Sus scrofa: one gene and its partner. The protein of the gene in region 2 binds, or shares a complex with, the protein of the main gene of each other region. Links are inferred from orthologs where the notes say so. Each region holds a gene or a part of one and is shown on either strand. Other genes may lie near its edges.

The links. The genes of interacting proteins can lie anywhere in the genome.
Region 1: AKAP13 (region 2) and PKN1 share a complex: the UniProt entries of both Homo sapiens proteins name them as parts of the signaling complex. The link is inferred for Sus scrofa from reciprocal best matches to the Homo sapiens genes AKAP13 and PKN1.

What each region holds. Positions count from the first base shown.
Region 1 is NC_010444.4:64,817,956-64,822,751, reverse strand, and holds the start of PKN1 (serine/threonine-protein kinase N1), read left to right. Parts: upstream 1-1,568; 5' UTR 1,569-1,642; coding exon 1,643-1,681; intron 1,682-2,674; coding exon 2,675-2,978; intron 2,979-4,489; coding exon 4,490-4,641; intron 4,642-4,796. UniProt on the Homo sapiens protein: PKC-related serine/threonine-protein kinase involved in various processes such as regulation of the intermediate filaments of the actin cytoskeleton, cell migration, tumor cell invasion and transcription regulation.
Region 2 is NC_010449.5:88,070,523-88,074,739, reverse strand, and holds part of AKAP13 (A-kinase anchor protein 13), read right to left. Parts: coding exon 3,756-4,217; intron 1-3,755. UniProt on the Homo sapiens protein: Scaffold protein that plays an important role in assembling signaling complexes downstream of several types of G protein-coupled receptors.

The DNA of each region.
Region 1 (4,796 bases), on a different chromosome or scaffold from region 2:
TTTACCGTGGGGAAAGACATAGACCAGGCCAGCACGTCTACCAGTGGGACTACTGTGACATCCTTCCTGGTCATGTTCAGCAGCTCAGGGTGTGAGTTTTTGTCCTTTAATCCAGGGTTGTCTAAGCCTCCATACTATTGACATTTGGGGCTGAATCATTCTTTGAGGTGGGGCTGTCTTGCGTACAGTAGAATGCCGAGCAGCATCATTCTGCTGCTCAACCCAGTAGATGCCAGTCGCACCCCTAGTTGTGATAACCAACCAAAAATGTCTCTGAATGTTGCCAGATGTCCCCAAAAGTTGGGTGGTGGTGGTAAAATCCCTTCCTCCATTGAGAACTGAAGCTGTCACCTCTTGAGCCCCAGTTTCCTCACCTATAAAGTGGGGGAGAATTATGACAGCTGCTCAGGATAATGTGAGGGGTCGGTAGAATCCTGGGAGGGATATTTTTTGGCTAGAAGTAAATTCTCCCCGGGGTCAGCTGCCTTGGAAGTTGGTCAGGATCCAACCATGACTTTCCTCATCTCTGAAATGGGTTCTCACAGTGGCAGCAGATAATGTACATGGAGCTCTTTGCACTATGCTTGACACCTAGCCAGTGCTCAGATTCTAGGCATTCCTGTTGGAAATCCCAGTTCTGCCTCCTGCTGGCTGAGGGGCCTTGGGCAAGTTATGTCACCATTCCAGGCCTCAGTTTCCTCATCTTGAAAATGGGGCGATAGGAATTCCCACTGTGGTGCAACAGGATTGGCAGTATCTCTGCAGCTCCAGGATATAGGTTTGATCCCCAGCCTGGCACAGGATCCAGCGTTGCCACAGTTACAGCATAAGGCTCAGATCTGATCCCTGGCCTAGGAACTCCACATGCTGTGAGGTGCCCCCTCCAAAAAAAGGAAAAAAGAAGATGGGATGATAATAGCACCTGCTTCCTGGAGTTGCATTAGTCGACCTGGGTGCAATTGTAGTAACTGTCACCATTCTTAATAGTCATACTTGAGTTTTAGTGAGCCCCTGGTTTGGGGACACCCTCACCTCAATCCTCCAGTGCTGTCCCCTCACAATGTGGGCCTTGAGGAGGTGCCGCTGGGCTGGCTGGGCCTCCTAAGCCTCCAAGGTGTGGTCAGCAGCAGCGGGCGACCGAGCTGAGAAGCCGGAAGTTGGGACAGGCTGTGTCTGCAGGAAGGGGGCTGGGCTGCTCACATAAGCACTCTTGAGTGTTTGCGTATAATGTACACAGGGGCAGGCGTGGGGGTGTGCACACACTCGTCAGCCTGTGATCTGTGCACACCCCTATGGGTACACGAGGGTGCGAGCCCACCCAGGTCAGCCCCTGGAGCCTGTACACATGGGGGAGGCTGCTCTTTGTGTCCACACTAGTGGGCTTGTGAGTGTGTGTATTCTGTGTACACCTTGGGTCTCCTCTCGGTTCAGGGAGTTGGGGCCATTCCTGGGATGCCTCCAGAGAAGCAGGCTCAGCCCTGGAGTGGGGGCTGGGAGGAAGGCCCTCTAGATGCCCCAGAGCCCCAGAGCCGGCCTGTCGCGGGGGTTGCTGGGAGCTAGCAGGAAAGAGGAAGTGGCAGGCGAGAGGCCCTGGCAAGGCTGAGGTTCAGGAAGAGGGCGGGGCCCTCAGCCGGGACCCAGGATGGCGGAGGCTGGTCCCCCTTTGGACCGGGAGCTGGAGGTGGGGGCTGGGGTCCTTATGGGGTGGTTGGCAGAAGAGGACCCCAAGCAGCACGGGCCAGAGGCCCTGCCCTTGGCTCTGGGTTTTGGACTGAGGGGAGGAGATGGGGCGCTGGCCTTGGAGTTTTCTGTTTGAAAGATAAAAGTATCGGGGGGCCCTTTGGGTCTTCCAGGTTGGAGAGACAGAGGAGAAAGAGGACAGGGCTCTGCTCTTTAGGGTCCTGGTTGTAGAGAATGAAAGGAGGGGAGACAGGGCCTGTCTCTTAGTTTGGGGGTACAAGAGAAGGGAAGACGAGGCCTGTCCCTCAGCATCTAGTTTGACGGCACAGCAGTGAGGAGTGGAGGCCTGCTCTTGAGACCCCAACTTTATGGTTTTGGGGGGCACCAGAGGCCTGCCCTTGATACTTCCTTGTTTGGGGAGCAACAGAGGGAAGATGAAACCCGCTTTCAGGACCTCTTACTTTGGGGGATAGGGGAGTAGAGATGGGGCCTATCTCCAGTTTGGGGGGCAGCAAAAGGGGAAAAGGATCTGCCCTCAGGACTGTGTCACTTGGGGGGACAGCATAAGGGAGATGAGGTCTGTCCCTGGAACCCTCTAATTTGAGAGGACAAGGGAAGGGCAATAGTACCTGTCCTCAGGGAACCCCCAACATGGGGGACACAGTGGTGGAGTGATGGGGCTTGTCTTCCAGAGTTTCACTGCATAGGAACAGATGAAGGGAGACAGAACTATACCCATAGGCGAGGGGACAGGGAAGGAAGAAGGCCCTGCCCTGGGGACACCACAGTTTGGTGATGTCAGTAAGCAGGGACAGCGTCTTGTCTCACTTCCCAGTTTTGGTGGCGGTGAGGGGTGGTCAGAGAACATGGAGCTGGCCCTGTGTCAGGAGTCCCACCCTGAGAGGAGGCCAAGCCAGGTTGGCTGAGTATGGTCTGCACCCCAGAGTCCTCCTGGTCCCCACTGACCCCACTCTGTCTTCCGTCCCCCCTGCAGAGTGAGCCCCGCAGCTGGTCCCTGCTGGAGCAGCTGGGCCTGGCGGGTGCCGACCTGGCGGCCCCCGGGGTGCAGCAGCAGCTGGAGCTGGAGCGGGAACGGCTGCGGCGGGAGATCCGCAAGGAGCTGAAGCTGAAGGAGGGAGCTGAGAATCTGCGTCGGGCTACTACCGACCTGGGCCGCAGCCTGGGTCCTGTGGAGCTTGTGCTGCGTGGCTCCTCACGCAGGCTTGACCTGCTGCACCAGCAGCTGCAGGAGCTGCATGCCCATGTGGTGCTGCCTGACCCCGCAGCCACTGCCCATGGTGAGCCAGGCTTTCCCAGGGATGCGGGACTGTGGGGGTTCCAGGGCTCACCCATCACTACTGACCCCCAGGGAAACACACTCATGACAGCTCTATCTCAGAATACAACCAGAAAAGAAGCCAAAACCAACACCCAGAGAAAGGTACACACAGGTACACCCACACCTTGGCAACACCCAAAGGATTTACACCCACATGAGTATCTAGACTCACATGGTCACACACCACTTGGACAACCCCCAAAGACTTGTTCACATAACAGGAATTCCTCTGGGGCTCAGTGGGTTAAGGATCCGATGTAGTCACTGCAGTGGCTCTGGTTACTGTAGTAGCATGGGTTCGATCCCTGACCTGGAACTTCCACATACTGCGAGTGCAGCCCCCAAAACCCCCAAATAACAGAAAATGCATCATTTTGAAGGTTATAGTTCAATGATGTTGAGAAGACGCACATTATTGTGCAAAGGATCTGCACAACGTTTGCATCTCGTGACCAAAGACCCTTAAACTCATCACATCAGGAGCCAGTGACCCTCTCACACAGTCATGCCAGCACCTGTCTTAATGTATGAATATCCAGAGACTCTCATAGACTCACCACAACACCCAGAAACTTCCATACCACCACCCAGCACCTAGAGAAATACATAGTCACACGAACAACACCCAGAGACTTAGACATGTTCACACCAACCCCCAGAGAGTCACACTTACACAGATCTGCCCAGTCCTTAAGATGTTCTCCAATCCATCAACAGCCCAAAACTTACATACGCAATCAGACAAGACTCAACACCACTTACCTCAACACACCTACACTGCCTAGATGACAGCTGAAAACCAACACTGTCACATCAACACTCTGAGATAGAGTTCAGCCAGCACCCAAAACTTCATCCAGTCACAGCTGTACCCAGAGTCCCCCGCATAGTCACAATACTGTCTAGAGCCTGACACAGATCTCTGTCAGCATCCAGAGACACGCATGTCTGACTGTACCAACACCCGGACACTTGGACACAGTGGTCCCAGTGCCAGGAAATCTGAACATGCCGTTGTGCCGACAGTCGGAATCATATGCATAAAGTCACCCCAGCACCCAGAGCCTCACACAGTCACTCCAACACCTCACATCTCACAGTTACACTAGCACCTGGGGTGACACATATGCTCAGTTATGCCAACACCCTTCGGGTCACAGACATAAGCATAGCCACACCCATGGACAGCCACACAGCCATGTACATAGTTGGGGGCTTCTGTACAAAGGTATGTATAGTCACACCAACACCAGGCACTCATGCACCCCTGGACACTTGCCCATGCTCATTCATGCTGGTCCTATCCCAGCGCTGAGAGGGTTTCCTGTGACCGATGGTGTGGTTGGGTCCCCTGGCCCCCAGTTCTTTCTCCTCCCGGCCCTCCCGGGTGGGTTCTCTCAGCTGGGGCAAAGCTTCCTGGGCAGATGGAGGTGAGGGCCATGGTGACTCTGTCCCACCCACCCCCTCCAGATGCCCCCCAGTCCCCCGGTGCAGGTGGCCCAACCTGCTCAGCCACCAACCTGAGCCTCGTGGCTGGCTTGGAGAAGCAGCTGGCCATCGAGCTGAAGGTGAAGCAGGGGGCGGAAAACATGATCCAGACGTACAGCAACGGCAGCACCAAGGTGGGGGCAGCACGAGTGAACACACCCCTGTGTGCACATACGCCTGGAGCACATCACACAGTGAGGGGGTTTGGGGGGGTACCTACATGTCCCCCATGGGAGGTTTGGGCCCTCTGGGTTGGGAACAGAGGGACTGATGAATGACTGAGTGGCAG
Region 2 (4,217 bases):
TTGCTTTGGAGCCAGTGACCAGTGCTAAGCTAGTCCTTAATCGCATGGTTGTATGGTTTTTCCTTAGCCTCTATGTGGGTTTGTAGCTAAGCGAAGATGCAGTTCAACGTCCACTGAACTTCCATTTTCACTACTGACTCTTTTTTTAGGGCTGCACCTGTGGCATATTGAGGTTCCCAGGCTAGGGGTGGAATCAGAGCTGCAGCCGCCAGCCTACGCCACAGCCACAGCAACGTGGGATCCGAGCCACGTCTGTGAACTACACCACAGCTCTCGGCAATGCTGGATCCCAAATCCACTGAGCGAGGCCAGGGATTGAACCCGTGACCTCATGGTTACTAGTTGGATTCATTTCTATTGCGCCACAATGGGAACTCCCATTATTGACTTTTAATGACAATTCAAATGAGTGTGGTGCTGACCAGCATGTGGAAAAGTACACTCACAAGCTTGAAGGGAAGAGACTGACAGCTTAAGCTAGTAGTCCATCTGGATCATCATCAAAGAGGCAAGAGACATTTGCAGGTATTTGTACAGAACAAAAACAGCTGCTGAGAATGAGACAAAGCCTTTGGAAAGAGTCTCACTTTCTTTAAAACATTTTATACATACTGATCTTTCCATCACTGAAACTGATGAGACTGAACTACTCTAGTAAATTATGTTTTGTTTTCACTTTTATTTTTTCCCAAACCAAAACAATAAAAAACAAGCAATTCCTTTTCTCAAGGAAAAGTCTTTTCATGTTGTCTTTAGAATTAAGCTCAACAGACCAAAATTTAATAACTACCATATGGTCAAGCATATACAGGAAGGAAGTGATAAAATGATGTCTGAGGCAAAAATCATGCTTTGATACTTCTTTAAAGGGAAATGATGGCTGAACAGTCAAAATTCACCTTGATAATCCAAATACAAATGGAATCATGATCTCAATTTCATTTGAAAATACTTTTCTGTGATTGTTAGTAATCTAGTCATGTCACTACTCTAGCAGAGTTCCCTATACCAAAAGTTAGAGGTGGTTCTTTACCAAAGGATAAATTATATTAAGATATATGATTAATTATATTAATATATATGACCACTGTTTTTTAACTGCATACTGTGACCTGTAATAAAGGCCTACTTTAGACTTAGGAAAGTTACATTCCTATAACTGAACATTTACAAGTCTCCTTTCTTTGTCCTTATTCATAATTATATAACCTCACTAGCATTTAAAAAAATGGGCACTCTTCCTTATTAAAAGAACCAAAATCTCTCCTACACTTCATAAAATGTGATTAAAGTTTAAAAAAAATATGACTAAGCAATCCCCTTAGAAGTACTCCTTGACTGAAATATTTCTAAGTGAGTAAAATAGGTTTCTTATAGTTTTTTTTTTGTTTTGTTTTTTAGAGAGGGTTGATGATTTTTATTTTATTTGAGGATGTGATTTTTGGTACATCCTTACTATCCTATACCCATCAACTGAAAATGTGTGTCTTGGCAAGTGGCAACCACTCACAATGGTAAACAGAGATTACTGAGACTTGTGGGGTGTGTTGGCCCAACTCAGTCATGCACATCCAACTTTCCAAAGCACTGTGGTCAACACTCTCGATGGATGAAGGGCCACATCCCCTCATTCTAACTCAAAGTTTTGTGTTTTCCTCAATTTCTATTTGGCTTTGCCAACAGCAGTATATAAAAACAGAAGCCAATGCCATGGGGCTCCTTCCAAGTCAGGAGTTAACCTCTGTCTCCTCACTTACAAAACAGTGTGGTTAAATTCATGAATGAAATGTGAACTTTCTAGAAAACACCCTTTAGTCTGAGATCACACTCAGGTGCTTTTTCTCGAGGGCAATGTGACCGGGGTCTTTCCCCAATCCTGGCTATTTTCTGAAGAAAGCACCAATTTCTTCATCACTGGCTACTTCTCCCTGTTCTTTGAAGCCATAAGCACAGAGCACATATGACTCTTCATAGCAGAAGAAGTAACTCGCCCACACATATGAGCCAACCCCAAACCCAGAGATACTGTTGAAACTTGATTTTCTTCTCATTCTCCTTCCTAAAACCTTAAAATCTTAAAAATAATTTCTTTGCATCATTACTGTATTGTGGACTATTAAAAAATCAAAGTCTAAAAACTTCCTGGTTTCTGTCTTTTTTCATAAGGTACCTCTAGACACAAGCCTTATACAGTTCGTACTTCCTTGGGTTAATCTGACTACAGAGCCAGAAAGAGAAATAATTCCAGCCCATGTGGCCAAAGACGCAGCACCCAAATGAAAAGAACATAGCCAGGCATCAGCTTACAGCCACTCCCATTCTTCTAAAATGTCAACCTGCCAGGGCCCCCAAAATAGACTTGTTGTTGTGCCTTATTTTAAAAATTAGAGATATTCTTGTTTAAATTCTGAGAGAGCGGCCAACAAATTTCTGTCACGAACAATCCAAAACATTAATAAAACAGAAAGCCTAAAGTCACTAAAAATACTGCTAGGTTTCTGAAATCCCTCAACTAGAAAAATAGATTATAAGTGGTTAAAAACCCTTTATCAGCAAAAATGACCACTGTGTTTAAATTGCTCTTTTTCAAAACCAACTTCTTTCCTTATTCTTTTTGTTCATTTCTCTACATGTCCCACCCCCACATTCTTAACACATACTACAGTAAAGGGGTTTTCAAAAATTAGAACAGCAAAAACAAACAATAAGAATAAAATAGGTTTCTTACCTACAAGAGCCTAGGGCAAGCATGGAGATAGGTCCTCTGACTATACCTGGTAACAGGTGGTGGTCTCAAAGTGTTAATCAAACTGACCTTGAACGACTTCAGGAGTCAATACCGAGTCAGACTCCAGTTTGAGCTTCAGCCTCAACCCCCAATAAGAAGTTTTATTCAGATCGTTTATTTCCACTGAGCAATAGTGGTTTCTTTTCGCTCTCTCTGGACATGGTTACCCATAGATGGAACAGGCTGCTGTGTGAGCAATCTGCTCGGTGCAGCTGCTTCACCAAGATAAGCAGACACAACGTCTGCCCTGTGACAGCAGCTCAGCAGACTAGGCTTGGGCGGAAATCCTGCATCCTATCCCCTGTGCTGTGCAGGGTCCTGAATTCCCAGACTGCTGCCCAAGAGCAACAGGCAATGGAACTGGAGGTCTGCTCCTCAGGCAGGAAAAGGAGGGAGTTCCCTTCCCCCTCAGCCTCCACCAATGACCTAATACCACCATTTGGGATGCTGGGCCACTGGCTCAGAATGATACTTACAGCTGTTCATGAAACTACTCTGACTCTAAATTTGCTCAGGACAGAGACTAGAATGATAGGAAAAGAAAGGAGTTTCAGGCTTGATATTAAAATACACTTTTTCAACAATGTTTGTTGTGGTTCTCCAGAAAAAGGACTAAACCATGTGAATAAAAACATCTGCTAAATTCCTTTATCATTGTAGAACACCTGGGATCTAGCTGCTGTTTTCCAGGTTAGGAAAGTCACAATTGCTCCAGTGTGACAGACAGAGCATTTATAGGCTTTAAGCAATTAAGCCAGGAGTTTAGGATACAGGAAGCAGAATCTGTCCAACCCTGAGATGACGTGCCTCTCTGAGTGGTGCTGACTAGTAACCTGGCAACCTATCTAATGAATACAAGCCTTCTAAACAAAAAAGACCTATATTTTTACCAGCATATCACAGAGACTCTTAAGGGAATTTGCTTCTCGACCAGTTGATTTTATTTTCTGCTGTGCTTACCTGTTGTGGCCCAGATCCCAGGACAGGCGAAATAATCTTCTCTGGCTCCTCCCTTCCAGCAACGCATCCTGTAAGGTTCTCAGAGGCTTCTCTGCAAACACTGCCCATTGGTGGGGTCTCCGCAGGCTGGACAGCATGCGCCTTCCCTGGAGAAGCACTCTCTAGCTGTTCAGTCTCTGGGCCTGACTCGGAAGGACTGGACAGGAACACATGACTGATCTTCCCCTCTGTCATCAGTGCTCCCGAGGCCTTGACTCGCTCTATGACAGCATCCACTATACGACTAGCAGCCTCCTCGATAGAGCCTGCTTTCTCAGGCGGCAGCGCAACTTCAGCAGAGACAGCGCAGAGCACAGGGACAGCACCCCTTTCCCTGCCTTGGGCCTGGTCACCACGGCCTGGGGGCCCTGTCTCTGTGGGGGGATCTTTGGCAACAGGCTGCAGCGGGATGTGATACGCTTCCTCACCC